3 linked regions of the Anolis sagrei genome follow. The protein of the gene in region 2 interacts with the protein of the main gene of each other region in a biochemical or structural test. Links are inferred from orthologs where the notes say so. Each region holds a gene or a part of one and is shown on either strand. Other genes may lie near its edges. The genes, in order: ATRIP, TOPBP1 and TICRR.

What was found.
Region 1: the proteins of TOPBP1 (region 2) and ATRIP form a complex in vitro, tested with the Homo sapiens proteins (2 studies listed by BioGRID). The link is inferred for Anolis sagrei from reciprocal best matches to the Homo sapiens genes TOPBP1 and ATRIP.
Region 3: the proteins of TOPBP1 (region 2) and TICRR form a complex in vitro, tested with the Homo sapiens proteins (2 studies listed by BioGRID). The link is inferred for Anolis sagrei from reciprocal best matches to the Homo sapiens genes TOPBP1 and TICRR.

Annotation. Positions count from the first base shown.
Region 1 is NC_090022.1:67,074,819-67,082,611, reverse strand, and holds the start of ATRIP (ATR-interacting protein), read right to left. Parts: upstream 3,079-7,793; 5' UTR 2,969-3,078; intron 981-2,968; 5' UTR 963-980; coding exon 545-962; intron 1-544. UniProt on the Homo sapiens protein: Required for checkpoint signaling after DNA damage. Required for ATR expression, possibly by stabilizing the protein.
Region 2 is NC_090026.1:78,150,879-78,158,912, reverse strand, and holds the start of TOPBP1 (DNA topoisomerase 2-binding protein 1), read right to left. Parts: upstream 3,028-8,034; 5' UTR 2,926-3,027; intron 1,762-2,925; 5' UTR 1,758-1,761; coding exon 1,674-1,757; intron 1-1,673. Other genes in the region: C-C chemokine receptor type 5-like, read right to left, coding at 7,694-8,034. UniProt on the Homo sapiens protein: Scaffold protein that acts as a key protein-protein adapter in DNA replication and DNA repair. Composed of multiple BRCT domains, which specifically recognize and bind phosphorylated proteins, bringing proteins together into functional combinations.
Region 3 is NC_090029.1:34,509,983-34,517,803, forward strand, and holds the start of TICRR (treslin), read right to left. Parts: upstream 3,047-7,821; 5' UTR 2,867-3,046; intron 1-2,866.

The sequences.
Region 1 (7,793 bases), on a different chromosome or scaffold from region 2:
ATAAATTTGGAATGCTTTTGATATGAAATAAATAGTGCTCCAATCCCCACTCTGCCATAGAAACCCAATGGATAATATTGGTGAAGTCGTATTCATTTCAGCCTAAGAGGAAGGCAATAGCAGACATACTCTGACAAAAACTTTGCCAAGAAAACCATATTATAGGGCCTCCTATAAGTTGGAAACCATTGGAAAACACCAAACAGCAAAACAACTAATGATGTTAAGCCCCATCACTCATGATCTCCAAGAAAATTCTCAGGAACCATTTGTATTCCTTGGCCTTATCTTGTTATGTGCTATTTCTTTTATAACAATTGTATTTCATTTTAGCATTTTGTCAGGTGTAATGTCTAATTTATGGTTGTCACGGGCTTTTATTAACCCTAGTGCTTTATTTTAGCATCCGCACTGCCTAAAGAGGGGTTTGTGCCCAAAAGGCAACCTCAACAGGTTTACTATCTTTTAAAGAAAAACAGTAATAACAGTGTAAATCATCAATCCTCATTGCTCCAGACTCCAGTCTCACTGAGAATACACATACCAAATACTTGCTTAGATTTTGTCTCAGTTGCAAAGTTGAAATTCCATTGCTTGATGTGATCTGCTGCATTGGTGGTACTTTTTGACAGTGAAGACAGTTCTCTATTTTGCTCTGCTCTTGATGCATTTGTGTTTACAGAAACGTTTTGTGTCATTGCCTGGGAAGCAATAATATCAATTTCCTCCAAGTCATCTGCAGTGAAATCATCACTGTCCTGAAATGGATCTTCCATTTCTTTATGCCCAGTTGTGGCAAGGGTTTTATAGCGCTTATTGGGTGGAAATCCATCTCCATGGTTTCCAGTGTTACTTGCAGTTCTCTGGAAGGATGAAGTCGAAGCAGTCACTCTGGCCTGATCCACACCGTATAATATAGAGCTGTTTCTCTTCTTATTCCCAAATAAATGGTTCACTGACATTCTGTGTCAGGAATTATCCTAGCAAAAAGAAACCACAAAACAAGGTTAAAGCTGCCTATTTAAAATCAGTTCTGGGACCTCTATTTCCTCAGTACTTTTCAATGTGTTATTAAAGCCAACAGTAATCACCTTTTCAAGGAAATGATCAGGCCTTGCTCACAAATGCTCATGAGTGGGACCTAAACAAACCTACTGGAAGGTCTAATGCAGCGTTTCTCAACCTAGGGGTTGGGAACACTGGAGGGTCACCAGGGGGTGTCAGAGGGGTCACCAAAGACCATAAGAAAACACAGTATTTTCTGTTCGTCATGGGAGTTCTCTGTGGGAAGTTTGGCCCAATTCTCTCGTTGGTGGGATTCAGAATCTCTTTCATTGTAGATGAGCTATAAAGCCCAGCAACTACAACTCCCAAATGTCAAGGTCTATTTTCCCCAAACTCCACCATTTGGGCATATTGAGTATTCGTCCCAAGACTGGTCCAGGTCCATCATTGTTTGAGTCCACAGTGCTCTCTGGATGCAGGTGAACTTGTTGTTCATTCGTTCAGTCGCTTCCGACTCATGCACCAGCCCACGCCAGAGCTCCCTGTCGGCCGTTACCACCCCCAGCTCCTTCAAGGTCAAGCCAGTCACTTCAAGGATGCCATCCATCCATCTTGCCCTTGGTCGGCCCCTCTTCCTTTTGCCTTCCATTTTCTCCAGCATCATTGTCTTCTCTAAGATTTCCTTTCTTCTCATGATGTGGCCAAAGTACTTCAACTTTGTCTCTAATATCCTTCCTTCCAATGAGCAGTCGGGCTTTGTTTCCTGAAATATGGACTGGTTGGATATTCTTGTGGTCCAAGGCACTCTCTGAATTTTCCTCCAGCGCCACAGTTCAAAAGCATCTATCTTCCTTTGCTCAGCCTTACCTATGGCCCAGCTCTCACATCCGTAGGTGACTACAGGGAATACCATTGTTTTAAGTATGTGGATCTTCATTGCCAGTGTGATGTCTCTACTCTTCACTATTTTATCAAGATTGGTCATTGCTCTCCTCCCAAGAAGTAAACGTCTTCTGATTTCTGCAGTAATCTTTGCACCTTGAAATACAAAGTCTGTCACAGCCTCCACGTTTTCTCCCTCTATTTGCCAGTTATCAATCTGTCTGGTTGCCATAATTCTGGTTGAATTTATGTTTAACTGCAATCCAGCTTTTGCACTTTTGAACTACAACTCCAAAACTCAAGGTCAATGCCCATCAAACCCTTCCAGTATTTTCTCTTGGTCGTGGGGGTTCTGTGTGGGAAGTTTGGCCCAATACTCTCGCTGGTGGAGTTCAGAATGCTCTCTGATTGTAGATTAACTATAAATCCCAGGAACTAAAATTCCCAAATGACAAAATCAATCCTGCCCCCTACCTCACCAGTATTCAAATTTGGCCATATTTGTGCCAAATTTGGTCCAGTGAATGAAAATACATCCTGAATATCAGATATGTACATTACGATTCAAAACACTAGCAAAATTACAGTTATGAAGTAGCAACAAAAATAATTTTGTGGTTGGGGGTCACCACAACATGAGGAATTGTATTAAGGGGTCGCGGCATTAGGAAGGTTGAGAACCACTGGTCTAATGATTTGGACAAGCCGCAGGAACAAGGAGAATATCATGCCTGTAAATCAAGATCTGACTTTAGTGATATTTAGTAACAATCTGGATAACCCACAAGAAGAATGACATTTCTGGAAGTTTAGCAGAAGTATCACCACTACAAACCTCTTTAAAACAGACTGATATCCAAATCGTCACAATGGATACACACTTTAGAATTAATCCAGTTTGGCACCACTTCTAACTGCTGTGTCTCCGTGCTATGGGATCATGGGAATTGTAGCTCCACAAGGTCTACAACTCCCATGATTCCATAGGTGTGAGTAATAGCAGCTCAAACGGTGCCAAGTCGCACTCATTCTAGGGTGCAGATGCTCCCCCACGACCTCCCTGCACTCTCTCTGGACTTACCTTGGTTTTCCCGCGTCAGGAGAGGAGGCTCTGCAAGAAGGGCAGCAGCATCTGCCCGGCATCGCTTCCCCGGTCTCTGTCAACCAATAGGAAGCCAGCTCTCTCCCAATGACGTCCCATCCGGTCTATTGGGGGAGGGACGTGCAAAGAAAAGGTGACGCGCGAAATGGAAGGAGCTCACCCATTGGACGGGAGGGATTTCTTTTCCCTGTCTTTAGGATTCGTGACTAAACGCCAAGGATCCTTGCAAGCACAAAGTGTGAGGGGGTAGGGGGGCAGGTGGATGTGTTTTTTAATCTCGCCTCTTCCCACCCACACTATAGAAATAATCTAGTTTGGCATAGACACTGAGAACTGGGAAGCCCTGGCCCTTGAGCGCTCCAGCTGGAGGTCAGCTGTGACCAGCAGTGCTGCAGAATTGGAGGAGGCACAAGTGGAGGGTGAAAGAGTGAAACGTGCCAGGAGGAAGGCGCGTCAAGCCAACCACGACTGGGACCATCTTCCACCTGGAAACCAATGCCTTCACTGTGGGAGAAGATGCGGGTCAAGAATAGGGCTCCACAGCCACCTACGAATCCACAAGGAAACCCATCATAGAAAATCATCTTACTCGTCCAACGAGGGATCGCCTAAGTCAAGTCAATCTAGTTTGGCAGCCACTTTAAATGCCTTGGTTCAATGTTATGAAATCATGGGAGTTGAGTCCAGAACCTCAATCCATGGCTGATGTCAAATGAGAGACTCCCCCCTGGGCACACAGTAGACTGGGCGATTTGGAAGGCGCTGAACAGACTGCGCTCTGGCACCATAGGATGCAGAGCCAACCTTAAGAAATGGGGCCACAAAGTGGAATCCATGGCATGCGGGTGTGAAGAGCAAACCACAGACCACCTACTGCAATGCAACCTAAGCCCTGCCACATGCACAATGGAGGACCTTCTGATAGCAACACCAGAGGCACTCCAAGTGATCAAAGGACATTTAATAGAATGCCAAGTTGGCAAACTTTGTGATTTTTTTAAAAAATCCAATACAACTGTTTGGTTTGCTCCTGACACAATACATAAATAAGATGGGAGTTGTATTTTTCACAAGTGGCTGAGGGGGAAAAGGAAAGGGCCTGAGGATGTTAGTAATGATGGGAGTTGAAGTCCAAAACACCCGGAGGGCCGAAGTTGGCCCATGCCTGGTGTAGATTAGTATCATAAGTATAATGTCATTCGTTTTTTCTGTATTAATATGTACTGAAAGACGTTTGTTTTGTTTTGTCTAAGTCACAGCCACAAATGCATAAGAACAAAATCAGTTATGTGGTCCCTTCTGGAAAACATCTGCTTTTGCATAAATGTGCATAACCTCCCAACCTTTTGTCCTACAGGTTTGTGGATTTCAGCTCCCAGAAACCCCAACCAGCTTGGCCAACTGAAATGCACAAAGAGTGTAATCTTCTGACCACTTCTTTAGGAATATTGAACACATTGGGACTTATTTCTGAACCATGTTCCAAGTACTGCAGAGTTACTTACTCTTCAACCACTCCAACATAGAGATTCTTAATATGTGTTTCACAATGTTTATCTGGAAATTACCCTTTGTGGTTTTACAAAGATAAGAGGATTGCAACTTTGGGTCAGAAGATACGGGGAGGCATGGCAGCGTATTCTTCTACTTGGTGTTGTAAGGTGCCTAACTTAATGACCAAACATGGAGCAGCAGTCAGTCTTGCCTCTTTAGATAAGTTATCTAGCTGAGTTGTGCATTATATTATTCCCTCTGGCTGTTATAAGATTGGGGTGGCAGTACAGGAGAACAAGGATAGGCCTGCTAGTTTTCGCTGGACTACATCATTCTTCATTTTTGGCAATGCAGGTCAATAACATCTAGAGGACCTTTTCTAATGGCTTCTTCAACAGAAATTGAGCTATGTGGTTCAAACATCTTTACACCTTATGTCGACAATATTTAGGACAGAGGTTGCAAAAGTATTACCATGCCCTCTGGTAGTTCTACATTTACAATTCCAGGATCTCTGAGGATACTGTATTCCATAAGCCAACAACACCTTGAGGTTCATTTATATGTGAAGCTATCCAAGCAGGACAAGTATTTTCTACCCCTGTGACCTTCTATGAGCCACATGGGCTGTCAAAGCCAAACTCCCCAATCATGGAAATTATCACAAATATATTTCTAGTTTTGAAAGCGCAACTGTATTGGGCTTCCTGCAATATACAGTATTTAAAAGGTAAACTCCAATTCCTTTTTAAGGATTAATGAATGAATTTTATTACAGACCAAGAGTGTAAAACTTTAAAACATTAAAAACAAGAAGTTTTTTTTAAAAAAAAAAACTGTTAACATTAAGACCCGAAGTTCACAACATTAAAAGAAGAATGTCCATGATATGGAGTCGATCGTGTGCTTGGCTTCATATATGACACTGAGTATCTATATAAATAAAAATGTAATGTTCGTTTGTGGGATTAACATAACTCAAAAACCACTTGACAAATTGACACCAAATTTGGACACAAGACACCTACTAACCCAAGGCGTGATCATCACTCAAAAATTTGAGTTTGTCATTCAGGAGTTGTAGTTGCTGGGATTTATAGTTCACCTACAATCAAAGAGCATTCTGAGCACCAAAGATGGAATTGGACCAACCTTGGCACACAGAACTCCCATGACCACCAGAAAATACTGGAAGGAGTTGTTGAGCATTGGCCTTGAGTTTTGGAGTTGTAGTTCACCTACATCCAGAGAGCACTGTGGACTCAAACAATGATGGTTCTGGACCAAACTTGGCATGAATATTCCATATGCCCCAATATGAACACAGATGGAGTTTGGGGGAAATAGATCTTGACATTTGGGAGTTGTATTTACTGAGATTTATAGTTCACCTACAATCAAAGAGCTTTCTGAACCCCACGAACGATAGAACTGGGGCAAATTTCCCACACAGAACCCCTATGACCAATAGAATATACTTAAGGCAATCCAGTCCAACTCCCTTCACCAGGGCAAGAAAACATAATCAAATACTGTTTACACACAAGCATAAAGAAATTACACATATTAGAAACCAACACTTTCTCATGACTTTATTTTTTAGATCACTAGACTGGGCCACAGCAAGGCATGGCAGGGGATGGCTAGTGGATAATAAAACGAGTAAGTTAAAACTTTACCTGCCAAAATCGTCCACAAACTGCTTCCTTATTTTTATAGCTGACACACAAAACATAGCCACTCTATAAATGATCAATGGATCACTATAAGAAGTTTTAGATAATATTTATTTTTTTTATTTCACATATTTGTATCTTGTCCTTCTCGTGCCCCCCCCCCGGGGGGGGGGGGAGGATTCAGTGCAACTTCCCAACAGGCATCTATTTGATGCCAACATACAAATGATAAATAATAATTACAAATAAAACAGTTCATTAAAACATTAATTATTAAGACATTCATTTAAAATCACACAAGTTCATTTCTGCCAGGGATCTTTTATACAATGGGAGTAATAAAAACAGATAAAGTATCCTAATAGATGTGACATTCTAAAAGGGCATGCCTGGTAGTTTCTACTCTCTCCATACCGCATGGGCATACATGCTTATGGTAGGGGATACCTGTAAACCTTTTTAATGTTTTAATTTAACTTTTAATGCACAACTGCATCGGGCTTCGTGCAATCTACAGTATTTAAAAGCTGAACTGCAATTCTTTTTCAAGGATGGTACAAGAAGTCTGGAGGGCTAAACAGCTAAAAAACAACCTTAAAAGGTGCATCCACTCTTATATCCACACTTACAAGCTGTATCCCAAGGTCATACTTCATCTAACCTGTTATAGACACCATTATGTAGATCTTGCCTTTCTCCTCTGTTATTGCTCATGCAATTTTAATCAAGATCTAAAAGACCTTATAGGTTTCTATGTATATATCTTCACTTTCTTGTCTTTCTCTTGCTGCCTGTTTTTTGTGCAGAAAACTGCTCCTGAGTAAAAATTAATCCTTTACATCAGAGAGTGGCAGATGGGGAGAGGGACAAATGGATGAAAATGAACCAATCAATTTCCTTGCCTGATTGATTGGACATTCCTTCCATTTATACACAGAGTAGTTTGGATCCAAGCTTCTTTATCTACAGCAAATATTCTAAACTATTTACTAGATTTCACAAATTCCCAGGATAATGATAATGCATTCCAATTCTTTCCCAAATCAGATACTTTAATCTAAAGTGCCAGTGACATCGCCCAAAGTACACAATGAATCTAGATACTGATTAATTTCTAAGGGTTGAATTTCTCTTTATACCATTAAGATGAATGAGCAGTATGGCCAATGATCTCATACTGGCCATAATTGTTAAAAGTGACTTTTGTGGGCTCAGAAATCATTTCATTCTTTCAAGAATTGTATGCACTTGCTTGCTGCTGAAAATACTAGCTCTGTCTCATCAGTTAAACTGACACAATGACCCAGTCTGTTTAGAACATCAATACTTTTTCTACTTCCAGTAATGCTATTTTTAGCCATCCCAAGCTGGAGATCCTCTGCAGGCTCCCTTTTTCCATTAGTAACTCAATATAACTGTCATGAGTACATTAATTCAGTTTCCTTTTTTCTGAAAAGAGCAGCAGATAGAAAGATCTGGGTCAAAATTGGCTTGCATTCTATCATACATCTCATAAATAAGTAAGAGAACCTTTAACAAGGAATCTTCCAGATTCTGAATTTCTATCACCCCTCACCACTTGCAACACTAACTAGAATTAACAGAAGTTGCAGTTCAACATCTGGAGGACGACA
Region 2 (8,034 bases):
TGATCTCCAGTTAGAATGCTTGAGGGCAGGAATGCCTAGTTCTCAGTGTTTATTCCACATTTTAGATGAGCTTTAAACCCATCTTTAAATCTCTTTTGCTGTCCACCAACATTCTGTTTTTCACTCTTGAGCTGAGAGTAAAGTAATTGCTTTGAGAGATAGTGATTGGGCATTCAGACAATATGGCCAGCCTAGCAAAATTAATGGTTGATGATCATCACTTCAATGAGCCCCCTGTGGCGCAGTGGGTTAAACCCCTGTGCCGGCAGGACTGAAGACTGACAGGTCGCAGGTTCAAATCCGGGGAGAGGCGGATGAGCTCCCTCTATCAACTCCAGCTCCTCATGCGGGGACATGAGAGAAGCCTCCCACAAGGATGATAAAAACATCAAATCATCCGGGCATCCCCTGGGCAACGTCCTTGCAGACGGCCAATTCTCTCACACCAGAAATGACTTGCAGTTTCTCAAGTCGCTCCTGACAAGACAAAAAAGAAATCACTTCAATGCTGATGGTAAGGAATATGTTTGCTCTGCTGCCAGACTGCTCAAATTAAATGTTTACATATCTCCACCACTGTCATTTAAATTGCTCTCATTTACATTGCTGTACTCCATTCCTTGAATCTAAAATTAGGCACATTTTCTCCTTCAATGGCTGCGCCTACAACACCCTTCCATGCAGTCAATTTATGAAGCCCCCAGCTTCACAAGTCTTTGGATATTTTAGGACCACTTCTGCTCCCCAGATCTCAATGCTGGGAATCAACAACTCCTCCATTTCATTTGTGCACAAGCAGATGAAAAATGGGTGATACAAGGAAAGAGAGAGCCACACAATCCACGGAAGTCATAAGTACCAAGACCATAAATCTTGGCCCATCGTTGGCTCTAGCCTGCCTACTACTGACAGTTGGCCTCAATTGACTTTTCCAGCACTTCTGAGGGAAAAGGTTAAGAATGGAAGAAAAGCCATATTAGATAAGAGCAATGATGGATCAGAGCCAAGTATTTATCTAGTCTATCATTCTGTTCATGCAATGACTAATCAAACTGCCCACAGAAGGCAGCAAACAGGACATAAATCAAAATGCACCCATATGTTTATGCTCCTCAGCTACTGATATACTGAGGTATACTGTTGTTGGTGCTAGAATGTATAGCTATCCTCATTAGTAATGTAGTTAAAAGTTTAACTATACATTGTGAGATGAAGTACTTTCTTTTAAGTTCCCAAACCACTCACACACAGTGGACATTGGACATTTTATTTACAGACATTTTATTGGACATTTTATTTACTGCCTAATGTCCTAGTCCCCACATAGAATATTATTATTTTTAAAATAGCAGGTGCACCCTGGGCTATTTTCATTAAATTATCACAATCCTATATGACACAGGAGTATATAGGTTTTGGCTGAACTAAAATGCCAATACCTCCCATTGCTCGCTTTGCACCCATCCTACAGCATGAGAGAAGCTAAGAAAGAGGAAGGAGACAGGGAGAACTTTTCTGCATTCATTTTGGAAAATCTGCTGAAAGCCACAATATTTTTGCCTTCTGTAAGATAAAAACTTCAACAGGAAAAGTCATCAGGCATTTTTGCTGCATCCAAACATGGCTCAGTCTTATTTTCAGAGAGCGCCTCACATATGTAAAAATTATCTTACTTCAAGGGCCTGAAGGAAAAAATCTGAGTTCTCTGGAGACTTGATGAACTTCACAAGATATGGTTCCTTGTTATTTTTCATCATTTAACTAATGAGGAAAGAAGAAAGAGAAGATGTAACATTATATAGGCAAAGGAAACATTAACAAAAAGCCTATTTGTGTATTTATTTATTTACTATATTTGTATACTGCCCCTCTCAGCCCAAAGATGACTCGAGGAGGTTTACTTTTGGCAATCAATGCCCCACAAGATAAAATACATTCAAAAACAATTACATATAAAATAGCCATGTAAAAACAATAAACAATTAACACCATAAAATACAATTCTCAGCGTCTCATTAAAATCATTTTCCGTCACATCGTCTTGTCATTCCATGAGTATCAATCAAAGAGTTATACTGCGTCTGCAAATGCCTGCTCGAATAGGCAGGTTTTCTCTTTTTCGAAATGTCAGGAGGGAGAGGGCCAATCTAATATCCCTAGGAAGGGTGTTCCATAGCCGAGGAGCCACCGCTGAGAAGGCCCTGTCTCTTGTTCCCGCCAACTGGATCTGTGAGGAAGGCGGGACCAAGAGCAGGGCCTCTTCAGAAGATCAACTACAACTCCCAAATTACAAAATCAATCCTCGCCCAACCCCACTAGCATTCACATTTGGGTGTATTGGGTATTTGTGCCCAGTTTGGTCCAGTGAATGAAAATGCATCCTGCATATCAGATATTTACATTATGATTTGTAACAGTAGTAAAATGACTGTTATGAAGTAGCAATGAAAACAATATTATGGTTGGGGGTCACCACAACATGGGGGACTGTATTAAGGGGTCACGCCATTAGGAAGGTTGAGAACCACTGATCTAAGGGAAAATGAAACTAAAATAACTATCTCAGGCTATTAAATAGGAACAAATTTTGTGGAGCTCAGCTGTCAGTTTCATAAGAAATGTACAGCTATAAATGTTATGGCTTAAGCAGCTGAGGGGGAAAAGGGAAGGGGCCTGAGGCTGTTAGGAATGCTGGGAGTTGAAGTCCAAAACACCCAGAGGGCCAAAGTTTGCCCAGGCCTATTTAGATGGATTAGGAATCAGCTGGTTTTCCTGTAATAGGTAAAAGTTGGAGGTCTTCCTGGCTGAGGCCCCTGAGGAGCTGTAGTATTTCTCAGGCGGAGGAGGCCCCTCTCATTTCTGGGCCCAAAGAGAGAGAGAGAGCGAGGAAGGATACAGGTTCCCCTTGCCTTCCTCCGGGATTACCTCAGCAGCACGTCCTCGGCCTGAGGAAGCGACCCCCTCTCCCCTTCTCACCAACAACTCTCTTCTTCCAAAGGCTGGCGGGAAAAGACTCCTGGACGGAGGGCGCATGCGCCAGGGACGGCTCGTGACGTCGCCGGCCTACAAACATGGCAAAGTTTCCCTTAAAGGGGCAAGGTACGGAAAGGCAGAGGCGATTGGTTGAGAAGGATAGTAAGCGTGGCCCCTTTAAATATTGTTTGTGGGCGAAGGGATAGGGTGGTTTTGTTGTTTGAGTTTTCTTCCGGCGCTTGTGCGACCACCGGTATTGTGAAAAGTAGCTTGCCAAAGAGAGGGTGTCGCTTCCTTTGGGGAAGTTTCAGAGAGGAAATCCTGGTGCTATCAACACTGCCAAACAGTGCAGTGTGAAACCGCGTTGGATGGTCAGTGTAGACTCATATAATGTAGTGAAAGGACCAAGGCAGAGACATCTCCAGCTCATCCCCTGTTTGAGTATCAGCCAGCACGTCAACGACTTAAATCTAGACATAGTTTTCTAAGATCTACAGCAGTGGTTTTCAACCTGTGGGTCCCCAGATGTTTTGGCCTTCAACTCCCAGAGATCCTAACAACTGGTAAACTGACTGAGATTTCTGGGAGTTGTAGGCCAAAACACCTGGGGACCCACAGGTTGAGAACCACTGAAGAAACACTTGCTGGAACACCTCAGTAAGCAAGAGTCCAAAAGTGGCAGGCTCAAACCCAGAACCTCAATCAATGGCTGATACCAAATGAGAGACTCCCCCCTGGGCACACAGAGGACTGGGCGACTTGGAAGGGGCTGAACAGACTACACTCTGGCACCACAAGATGCAGAGCCAACCTCAAGAAATGGGGCCACAAAGTGGAATCCACGACATGCGAGTGTGGAGAAGAGCAAACCACTGACCACCTGCTGCAATGCACCCTGAGCCCTGCCACATGCACAATGGATGACCTCCTTGCAGCAACACCAGAAGCACTCCAAGTGGCCAGATACTGGTCAAAGGACATTTAATCAACTACCAAACTCACAAATTTTGTATTTTGCCTGTTTGTTTGCTTTGTTCTGTTAGAAATGTAATATAATTGACTGGTTGCCCTGACATGACAAATAAATAAATGTAGTTTAATATAGATTCACCTTGTCTCCTGTGCTATGTTAATAATATAATATAATATAAAATAATATATCGTATATATACATATAATATCTATAATATTATAATGTAATGCAATATAACACTACTAATAATATGATATTATAAATATATATTTGTATTACATGTAATATTAATAATAATGTTACAATGTAATGGTTTAATACAATATAGTAATAATTAATACTGATATTGTACTATGCTAATAAAATAGATTTTATGCTTGTGGGTAAACAGCACTTCTTGCTGTTTCTTTGTCAGTGTTGATGTGGAGAGTGTCTGGTTTGCCCACTCTGGAACATGCAAAATATCATTGTCCTTCTTTAAGGGTCCCTTTCAAATCTAGGATACTATATATCTCTCTGTGTGTGAATCATATAAAAAGGTAAAGGTAGTCCCCTGCCATTAAGTCCAGTCATGTCTGACTCTGGGGTGTGGTGCTCATCTCCATTTCTAAGCTGAAGAGCCGGCATTGTCCATAGACACCTCCAAGGTCATGTGGCCGGCATGACTGCATGGAGCGCCGTTACCTTCCCGCCGGAGTGGTACCTATTGATCTACTCACATTTGCATGTTTTTGAACTGCTAGGTTGGCAGAAGCTAGGGCTGACAGCGGAAGCTCACGCCGCTCCCCGGAATCGAACCTGCGACCTTTCGATCAACAAGCTCAGCAGCTCAGTGCTTTAACCCACTGCGCAACCGGGGGCTCCGTGAATCATATATATCTATCTATATCTATGGCTGGATGGCTCTTTGTCAGGAGGGCTTTGATTATGTTTTCTTGCCCTGGTGAAGGGAGTTGGACTGGATGGCCATAAGTATTTTCTGTTGCTCATGGAGGTTCTGTGTGGGAGGTTTGGCCCAATTCTGTCCTTGGTGGGCTTCAGCATGCTCTTTGATTGTAGGTGAACTATAAATCCCAGTAACTACAACTCCCAAATGTCAGGGTTTATTTCCCCCAAACTCCATCTGTGTTCGTATTTGGTCATATGGAATATCCGTGCCAAGTTTGGTCCAGATCCATCCTTGTTTGAGCCCAAAGTGCTCTCTGGATGTAGGTGAACTACAACTCCCAAACTCAAGGGCAATGCCCACCAAACCCTTCTAGTGTTTTCTGTTGGTCATGGGAGTCCCGTGCATCATGTTTGGTTCAATTCCATCATAGGTGGAATTCAGAATACTCTTTGATTGTAGGTGAACTATAAATCCCAGCAACTACAACTCCCAAAAGACAAAATCAAAAAATATTTGAGTGAAGGACATACATTGGGTTGTTAGGTATATGTTGTCCAAATTTGGTGTCAATTCGTCCAGTGGTTTTTGAATTATGTTAATCCCACAAACGAACATTACATTTTTATTTGTATAGATTCCCAACTCTAAACCACTTATCACACAGAGGTTCCTGATACCCGTGCAATCTGGCATACTTAATCTCCTCTATAGAATCTATTCAATGACCAGTTTCATCAAATCTATGAAGCAAAAATCGTATAGCACTTAAATTTCCTAACAGGAAAACTAGAAAGTGAGTTAATGCTGTTTTTGTTCTCCCTCCTTTCACAAATCCAGTCTGCAATATAGTTCCTGTTTGTTCTGTAGAGGGAACAATTTTTGAAATAGCTATGAGATGCAAAACCAAATTTGTGGGGAAAGTTTCTCTTCCGAAATATCAGGTCTCTATTTGATTTTCATCTGTGCGCATTCGATGTAATTTTCCAAATCCCCACCAGAAGCTGATAGAGAACAAATGAATGTTCCGAGTTGCTTTCATAGTTGGTAGGTGATCTATTCAGCTCCCGACACTTCATCACATTCAGGAGGAGTTATATAACTCTTACCATTCAGTCATAAATATTCAGAGATGCAGGCTTCATTAGAAGATAGACAAACATTAAACCAGGGGACCTCAAACTAAGGCCCGGGGGCCGGATACGGCCCTCAAAGGTCATTTACCCGGCCCTCACTCAGGGTCAACCTAAGTATGAAATGACTTGAAAGCACACAACAACAACAAAAGCAGACCCACACTTCCCATTGAAATAATAAGTTTATATTTGTTGTTAAAAATTGTTCTTCATTTTAATTATTGTATTGTTTTAAAGTGGGTTTTTTTTTTCCTCAGAAGAAATAAGATATGTGCAGTGTGCATAGGAATTCATTCATGTTTTTTTTTTCAAATTATAATCTGGACCTCTAACAGTTTGAGGACCCCTGCATTAAACAATTGCTCTTGACCAGTGGTTCCCAACCTTTTTTGTTTTGTTTTGTTTTGTTTTGTTTTGTTTTTAGCAGGGACCACTTTGACCAGGGACAAGACTCCAACATTATTACCAAAAGGGTTACAAATCAGTTTTTGGCCAACTTTAGATTCAGTTTGTTTATTTGGGATGCCGATTTAGAAAATTGCATTGGATAGACCACATGCATTGGATAGACTGCATGACTCCATGCAGTCATGCTGGCCACATGACCTTGGAGGTGTCTACGGACAACGCTGGCTCTTCGGCTTAGAAATGGAGATGAGCACCACACCCCAGAGTCAGACATGACTGGACTTAATGTCAGGGGACTACCTTTACCTTTACCTTAGACCACATCAGGTTTAGTTTCTGATACAATGCACGAGCTATTTAGTAGTCGCCATCTGCTCGCCCACAGAAAACCATATTTAAAAATCTAGAGCTGATGTGGTAGAAGTAATCTTTTATGGGTCGTCAGCCTCTTCCCTCCAGACATACCCATTGCCTCGATACTATAAGGTTTTGCGAGACCAGTCGCTCTCATTCCTGCGTGGTTTTGAGGCAACGGTGTAGTAATTGTGAGGTTGTGGACCATATTTTCGTTCTTGCAGACCAGTGGTGGTCCATGAACCACAGGTTGGGAAACACTGTTCTAGACTGACTTCTGATTTAGTTTCTGGTTCCTAAAAAAACAGGATCCCGGTTCTTCCTTCATTACTCAGATCTACCCAATATCCCCAAATTGTGCATTCAGTGGCATTTTCTGTCTTACCACTTAAGGAGAGACAAGACTGTACTTCATATGTACCAGCTGCAGAACAGGTTTTTGTCCTGTCTCCATGAACTGGCATTTTCATATTAATAGAATATTTTTGTTCTAGGATCCTCTTTTAAAAAATAAGTTAGGAAAACTTTGAAATTAATCTTAAATAATTTTTAAAATCCAATTTTAAATGTAAACATCCAAATCCCTTTTAAAACATCATTGGCTTTTTAATCAACTCTGATTCATATGAGATCAGGTTCAGCCCATATTTATCTTGTCTTAAAACATACATGCCCAAGCATTTCAGAGATTATATAATGTATATGACTTGCTTAAATGAAGACTTAATTTTACTGCTGTTTTTCCAGAAACTCTGATAATATAATGTCTATAGTCCCACTGCACCTGAGATTTGTTTATGGTAAACCTTGTCAGATGATAGAAACCAAGGTCCATTAGATCCAGGTGTTCTCCAAAATTAAAGCTGCATTGTTATAAAGGCTCAACTGTTTATAGTCCGAGCCCTACACATAGTGAGAGATGAAAAACTGTATTAGTCAGGTTGAGTTCTCTTTGAACATCCTTTACAACACAGCTGAAAGGTCTTGCTCTCCAGTGGAATGGGAATATGTAGAACTCGCACGTTCCAGAGGCTCTGTATACAAAAAACGGCAGTGTTTTGACAGAGGAAAAGCAATGTGCTTCTGGAAAAATATACATGTATATTTTCTAAACTTCTCACCAGCAAAAGCGTAGATCACAGGGTTAATGCAACAATGGGCCATTGCTAATATTTCGGTCACTTGTAACGCAATCCCCAAATTACTATAGTCATAACAGTTGTCAAGACGAAATGATGTTTGGAACGTCTGGAGCAGGAGAACAATGTTGTACGGGGCCCAGAAAAGAAAATAAATAATCATGA
Region 3 (7,821 bases), on a different chromosome or scaffold from region 2:
AGAAGAGGAAAATAACTGGAAATGTGGCATCCCAATAAACATAACATTGTGATTATATGGGAGGTTTAAATGCTAAGGGAATTTAAGGTTATAAGGTGATAGTGCAGGCTGTGGTAAACTTCAGCCCTCTAGGTCAGTGGTTCTCCACCTTCCTAATGCCGCGACCCCTTAGTACAGTTCCTCATGTTGTGGTGACCCCCAACCATAACATTATTTCCGTTGCTACTTCATAACAGTCATCCTAGTACTGTTATAAATCATAATGTAAATATCAGATATGCAAGATGTATTTTCACTGGACCAAACTGGTCACAAATACCCAATGCACCCACACGTAAATGCTAGTGGGGTTGGGGGAGGACTGATTTTATAATTTGGGAGTTGTAGTTGCCGGGATTTATAGTTCACCTATAATCAAAGAGCATTCTGAACGCCAACAGCGATGGTTTTGAACCTAATGTGCCACACAGAACTCCCATGACCAACGGAAAACACTGGAAGGGTTTGGTGGGCATTGACCTTGAGTTTGGGAGTTGTAGTTCACCTACATCCAGAGAGCACTGTGGACTCACACAATGGTGGATCTGGACCAAACGTGGCACAAATACTCAATATGTGCAAATGTGAACAATGGTGGAGTCTGGGGAAAATAGACCTTGACTTTTGGAAATTGTAGTTGCTGGGATTTATAGTTCACTACAATCAAAGAACATTCTGAACTCCGCCAATGATAGAATTGGCTCAGATGTCCCACATGGAATCCCCATGACCATCAGAAAATACTGTATTTTCTGATGGTCTTTGGCGACCCCTCTGACACCCCTTCGTGACCCCCTCAGGGGTCCCGACCCCCAGGTTGAGAAACACTGCCCGAGGCTGTTAGGAATTGTGGGAGTTGAAGTCCAAAACATCTGGAGGGAGGGCCACAATTGGCCCAGGCCTGATCTAGATACAGTCCTCCTCTTGATGGGAGCCTAGAATCGCATTGGCCTTTTTAGCTGCCACACCACACTGCTGCTTTATGCTCAGTTTGAGGTCTACTAAAACCTTAAATAGTTCCGGCCCAGTTTATCTGTCCGAACGTATCTCCCCCTACATACCGTCTAGGAACTTAAGATCATCCGGGGAGGCCCTGCTCTCGCCATCGCAGTCATGTTTGGTGGGGGACAAGAGACAGGGCCTTCTCCGTAGTGGCCCCGCCAGCTGTGGAACTCCCTTTCCAATGAGGTCAGATCTGGCCCCTTCCTCCTGACCTTTCAGAAGGAACTTAAATCCTGGTTATAGGATCAAGCGTTCACAGAACAGTTTGTTTACTGGGAAAGACAAGATTTATTGGACCGGACTTGGACTGCTTTGGATGACGATTTTAATTTTGGTGGTTTTAATTTTGTGGATATATTTATTATGTGTTTTATATTATGTCTGGCATTGAATTGTTGCCTGTTTGGAAGCCATTCTGAGTCCTTCCGCAGAGGTCGAGAAGGACAGGGTATAAATGTTTTAATTAAATAAAATAAAAACTAAGGCCCCTTCTACATTGCCATATAATCCAGGCTATCAAAGCAGATAATCCACCTGAAGATGAGGAAGATGTTCCATCTGAACATGAGGAAGAACTTCCTGACTGTCAGAGCTGTTCAGCAGGGAAACTCTCTGCCGCGAGGTGTGGTGGAGGCTCTTTCTTTGGAGGCTTTTAAACAGAGGCTGGATGGCCATCTGTCAGGGGTGGTTTGAATGCGATTTTCCTGATTCTTGGCTGGTTGGTCCAGCTAATTGTGGATTTCAATGGCTTCTCTGTGTAGTCTGACGTGGTGGTTGTTGGTGTGGTCCAGCATTTCTGTGTTCTCAAATAATCTGCTGTGTCCAGGCTGGTTCCTCAGGTGTTCTGCCATGGCTGACTTCTCTGGTTGAAGGAGTCTGCAGTGCCTTTCATGTTCCTTGATTCGTGTTTGTGCAATGCTGCGTTTGGTGGTCCCTATGTAGACTTGTCCACAGCTGCATGGTACACGGTAGACTCCTGCAGAGGTGAGAGGATCCTTCTTGTCCTTTGCTGAATGAAACGTGTTGGATTTTCTTGGTGGGTCTGGAGATTGTTTGTATGTTGTGTTTCCTCATCAGCTTCTTGTCTCACCAAATGCACCACCAAACGCAGCATTGCTCAAACACAAATCAAGAAACATGAAAGGCACTGCAGACCACTTCAACCAGAGAAGTCAGCCATAGCAGAGCACCTGATGAACCAGCTTGGACACAGCAGATTATTTGAGAACACAGAAATGCTGGACCACGCTCACAACCACCATGTCAGAATACACAGAGAAGCCATTGAAATCCACATGAAGCATGTGGACAATATCAACAGAAAGGAGGAAACCATGAAGATGAACAAAATCTGGCTACCAGTATTAAAAAAAAACTCTAAAATTACAACAGCACAACAACAGGAAGGAAACAGCCAGGCACATCTTAACACCTCTCAACAGGGGATTTTCCCAGGCTCAGCCAGGCCTTCAAATGCTAATGAAGGTGGTCAGGTGAAACATTCACGCCTAGCTCCAGCAGAGAAGAGCTCCTTGCCCAACCCCAGCCATTCCACAGATATATAAACCCCTTTTCCTAGTTCCAACAGACCTCACTACCTCTGAGGATGCTTGCTTGCCATAGATGCAGGCGAAACGTCAGGAGAGAATGTCTCTAGAACATGGCCATACAGCCTGAAAAAACCCACAAGAACCTAATAAATAAATCTGTTTTGAACTGGATTATATGAGTCTACACTGCCATATAATCCAGTTCAAAGTAGATTATTGTATATGGAAGTAGAAGAGGCCTAAGACTCCTCAATCCCTCAAAGCCCCGCACTCACCATTCCTCTTCAGGAAGCTGGCCTGCTTCTCGTTAGTTAGTTAGTTCTTGGCTGATTATGAGCCAGTCTCCGTCCTCCTCGGGCAGCCATGGCATCCCGGCACGGCGCTCAGGGCTAGGCCTCACCACCACAAGAAGCCTCTCGCCATTATCATTCCCCGACGTCGCTCTCAATCCAATTGCTGGCGCGCTCGGCGCTCCGCTTCCTCATTGGACGGCGCTCACTCCGACGCCGCTCTCTCATTGGCTAAGACCTCGTCTTCGGCTCCTCCCTACTCTCGCGAGATCATGTCAAAATCCCACCCACTACTCCTGTCAGGTTTTTCGAAGGGGATATCAGTTTGTACGCATGCGCGCCGTGCTACTGAAAGGCTGTATTGCAGAGGCAGGAACTTCGCCTTCCTGGGCTGTCCTTTTGGGCTTGGAGAAGGGCCCAGCCCAGGACAACCCCAAAAGGCACCTTTCCCCAATGCTCTGGAAACCTTGGCCTAGGGGAAAGGAACCAACTAATGCAGTTATTAGGTTCTTGTGGGTTTTTTCGGGCTATAGGGCCATGCTCTAGAGGCATTCTCTCCTGACGTTTCGCCTGCATCTATGGCAAGCATCCTCAGAGGTTGTGGGGTCTGTTGGAAATAGGAAAAGGGGGTTTATATATCTGTGGAATGACCAGGGTGGGACAAAGGACTGTCTGTTGGAGCTAGGTGTGAATGTTTCAACTGACCACCTTGATTAGCATTGGATGTCCTGGCAGTGCCTGGGGCAATCTTTCGTTGAGAGGTGATTAGGTGTATGTTTTTCCGGGCTATATGGCCATGTTCTAGAGGCATTCTCTCCTGACGTTTCGCCCGCATCTATGGCAAGCATCCTCAGAGGTAGTGAGGTCTGTTGGAACTAGGAAAATGGGTTTATATATCTGTGGAATGACTGAGGTGGGGCACAGAGCTCTTCTCTGCTGAAGCTAGGTGTGAATGTTTCAACTGACCACCTTGATTAGCATTGGATGTCCTGGCAGTGCCTGGGGCAATCTTTCGTTGAGAGGTGATTAGGTGTATGTTTTTCCGGGCTATATGGCCATGTTCTAGAGGCATTCTCTCCTGACGTTTCGCCTGCATCTATGGCAAGCATCCTCAGAGTCAGAGATGGCCTGACAGTGCCTGGTGCAATCTTTTGTTGAGAGGTGATTAGATGTCCTTGTTTGTTTCCTCTCTCTTGTTGTGCTGTTGTAATTTTAGAGTTTTTTAATACTGGTAGCCAGATTTTGTTCATTTTCATGATTTCCTCCTTTTCAATGGCTTCTCTGTGTAGCCTGACATGGTGGTTGTGAGAGTGGTCCAGCATTTCTGTGTTCTCAAATAATATGCTGCGTCCAGGTTGGTTCATTTATTTATTTATTTATTTACTTACTATTCTTGTATACCGCTGTATCTCAAGCCCGAGGGCGACTCACAGCAGTTTCCAGACAGCAAACAGCAAGAACAATAAAAACAGCAATAATTAATATGCAAAACAGTTAAATTACACATTTCCATTACTAGCTAATAACCATCATCAAAACACAGTTATCACAATTGCCTCATCATCCAAGCGTGATCCAAATTCATCGTCCATTGTTCCGTTCTTATGTTCAAATTACCAGAATTGCACTGAATTACTCAAACGCCTGCACAAACATCCAGGTCTTCAAGCAGGTGTTCTGCTATGGCTGATTTCTCTGGTTGAAGTAGTCTGCAGTGCCTTTCATGTTCCTTGATTCGTGTTTGGGCGCTGCATACCATGCAGCTGTGGACAAGAAGTCTACATAGGGACCACCAAACGCAGCAGCCTTGCCCAAACACGCATCAAGGAACATGAAAGGCACTGCAGACTACTTCAACCAGAGAAGTCAGCCATAGCAGAGCACCTGAGGAACCAACCTGGATAATCATCATCATCATTATCATCTTTATTTATACCCCGCCACCATCTGATGGAGACTCGGAGCGGCTTACATGAGGCCAAGCCCAAACAACAAATTACAACAGAGTAAAACTGAAAAGGCAAACTGAAAATGCAAACAATAAACAACAACATCATAATGACAATGCTAAATGGTTTACGGACTGGATTTGGTGAACACTGACCACAAGATGTTTTTATTGCTGCTAGTATATTGTTGATTGTTTTAATTAGTGATAACTGTGATATTATATGGTAAATTTGTGTATTGTATATTCCATTGTATGTTGTAATTATTAGGCATCGAATTGTGCCTTTTGCAAGCCACCCTGAGTCCCCCCCCAGGGGGTTGAGAAGGGCGGGGTAGAAGCACCCCAAATAAATAAATAAATAAATAAATAACATAAAACATGTGAATACATAACAATATAAAATTGCAATAAGCACAATCACAGTAACAATGGGCGGGCTATATGTAATGATTAAAAGAAAACTAATAAAAAACTAATTAAAAACTCGGGCAAGATAAAAAAGAAGCAGATTATAAATTAGTATAAAACTGGAAAAAAAATAGAAGGTGTGCTGGTGGCTAAATATCTTTTGACCAAAAACGGGCAACAGCAACAGCATTGTCTGTAACCTCCAACAGTTCCTCCTCTGTACATGAGGCAGGGCACAATGGACAAGCATATAGATGCGGAGTTGTCTGTTCTGCTCCACAGTCACACAAGGTGTGGGATTCTTTTAGGTCGTGCCATTTTGCCAGGTTGTCTTTTGATCTGCCCACTCCGCTTCTGAGTCTATTCGGGGACTTCCAGGTTGCCCATTCTTGGTTTGCCCCTGGAGGAAGACCCTCTCTCATGGGGGGCCATCCAGTTGGGATTTCCTGGTGTAGCTGCCCAGAGGGATACCCTTGCTGTTGCCAGGCGGATGCCAAGGGGAGTGGTAGTTCTCATAAAGCGTTTCCTTGATTTGAGTCTACTGGGAAGAGGTTGGTAGCCATGTAGTGGATGGCTTTCACAGTGTTCAACCTTATTTCTCTCACATTTAGCAGCAACTTCGGAGGGGGGGGGGCAATGCCAGCTAGCTTGTAGAGCAGTGTTTCTCAACCTTCCTAATGCCGTGACCCCTTAATACAGTCCTCATGTTGTGGTGACCCCCCAACCATAAAAGTATTTTCATTGCTACTTCATAAATGTAATTTTGCTACTGTTGTGAATCATAATGTAAATATCTGATACACAGAATGAATTTTCATTCACTAGACCAAATTTGGCACAAATACCCAATACGCCCAAATTGGAATACTGCTGGGGTTGGGGGAGATTGATTTTTTTCATTTGGGAGTAGTAGTTGCTGGGATTTATAGTTCACCTACAATCAAAGAGCACTCTGAACTTCACCAACAATGGAATTGAACCAAACTTGGCACACAAAACTCCCATGATCAAGAGAAAATACTGGAAGGGTGTGGTGGGCATTGACCTTGGGTTTGGGAGTTGTAGCTCACCTACATTCAGAGAGCACTGTGGACTCAAACAATGATGAATCTGGTCCAAACTTGGCACGAATACTCAGTATGCCCAAATGTGAACACTGGTGGAGTTTGGGGGAAATAGACCTTGACATTTGTGAGTTGTATTTGCTGGGATTTATAGTTCACCTATAACCGAAGAGCATTCTGAACCCCCACCAACAATAGAATTGGACCTCATAGAACCCCCATGACCTACAGAAAATACTGTGTTTTCTAATGGTCTTTGGCGACCCCTCTGACACCCCCTCGTGACCCCCTCAGGGGTCCTGACCCCCAGGATGAGAACCACTGTTGTAGAGTTTATCAACAGATGTGGGCTTAAAACATCCTGTGATTATTCTGCATGTTTCATTCAATGCTATGCTCACCTGCTTTGCATGGGCAGACTTATGACAAACAGGGCAGGAATACTCAGCAGTTGGATAAGACAAGGCCAGGGCTGATGTTCTTACTAATTTTGGGTCTGACACCCCCTCGTGATCCCCCCCAGGGGTCCCAACCCCCAGGTTGAGAACCACAGTTGTAGAGTTTATCAACAGATGTGGGTTTAAAACATCCTGTGATTATTCTGCATGTTTCATTCAATGCTATGCTCACCTGCTTTGCATGGGCAGACCTATGCCAAACAGGGCAGGCATACTCAGCAGTTGAGTAAGACAAGGCCAGGGCTGATGTTCTTACTAATTTTGGGTCTGCACCCCATGTGTTGCCAGTACGTTTCTGCAGGATGTTATTGCGTGAAGCTGAGAAAATGTGACTTTCCCAATGGGTTCCCATGTGCAAGTGGAAATTATAACCCTGGTTTCCCAGAATCATAGTCTAATCCTCCAACCACTACAAATTTGCATTAGGTATACATTTTAAGAACATGTTATTGCGTGAAGCTGAGAAAATGTGACTTTCCCAATGGGTTCCCATGTGCAAGTGGAAATTATAGCCCTGGTTTCCCAGAATCATAGTCTAATCCTCCAACCACTACAAATTTGCATTAGGGGTATATTTTAAGAACACTGCCCTCCTGATTCCACTTCTTTTTGACCATGCAAATGTTTTTACAGTCATTTCACAAATGATTTAGGAGCCACAATGTCACATTGGGTTAAACCCTGAAGGTCGGCATTCAAATCCACGAGATGGGGTGAGCTCTTGCCTGTCAGCCCCAGCAGAGAAGCCTCCCACAGGATGATAACACAACCAGGAGCCCCCTGGGCAACTCGCTTCTGACACAAAAACAGTGATTTAGCTCTTCTTTTCTTGCCACTAGATGACACTGTTTGCCCACTTTATCAAGATATTACAGTTTCAAAAAAGGTGCCCCTGTTCCTTGTAACAGAAGTCTTTGGCACCTTGAACTAGCTCTTGACAGATTGACGTATTTAATGACAAAACAACAAGGAAGAGCACAGAAGGAAACGGTTTGGAGATTAATAGACAAATATGTGGAAGAGGAGAAGAAATAAATTAAAAAGAGAAGAAGTAAAAGT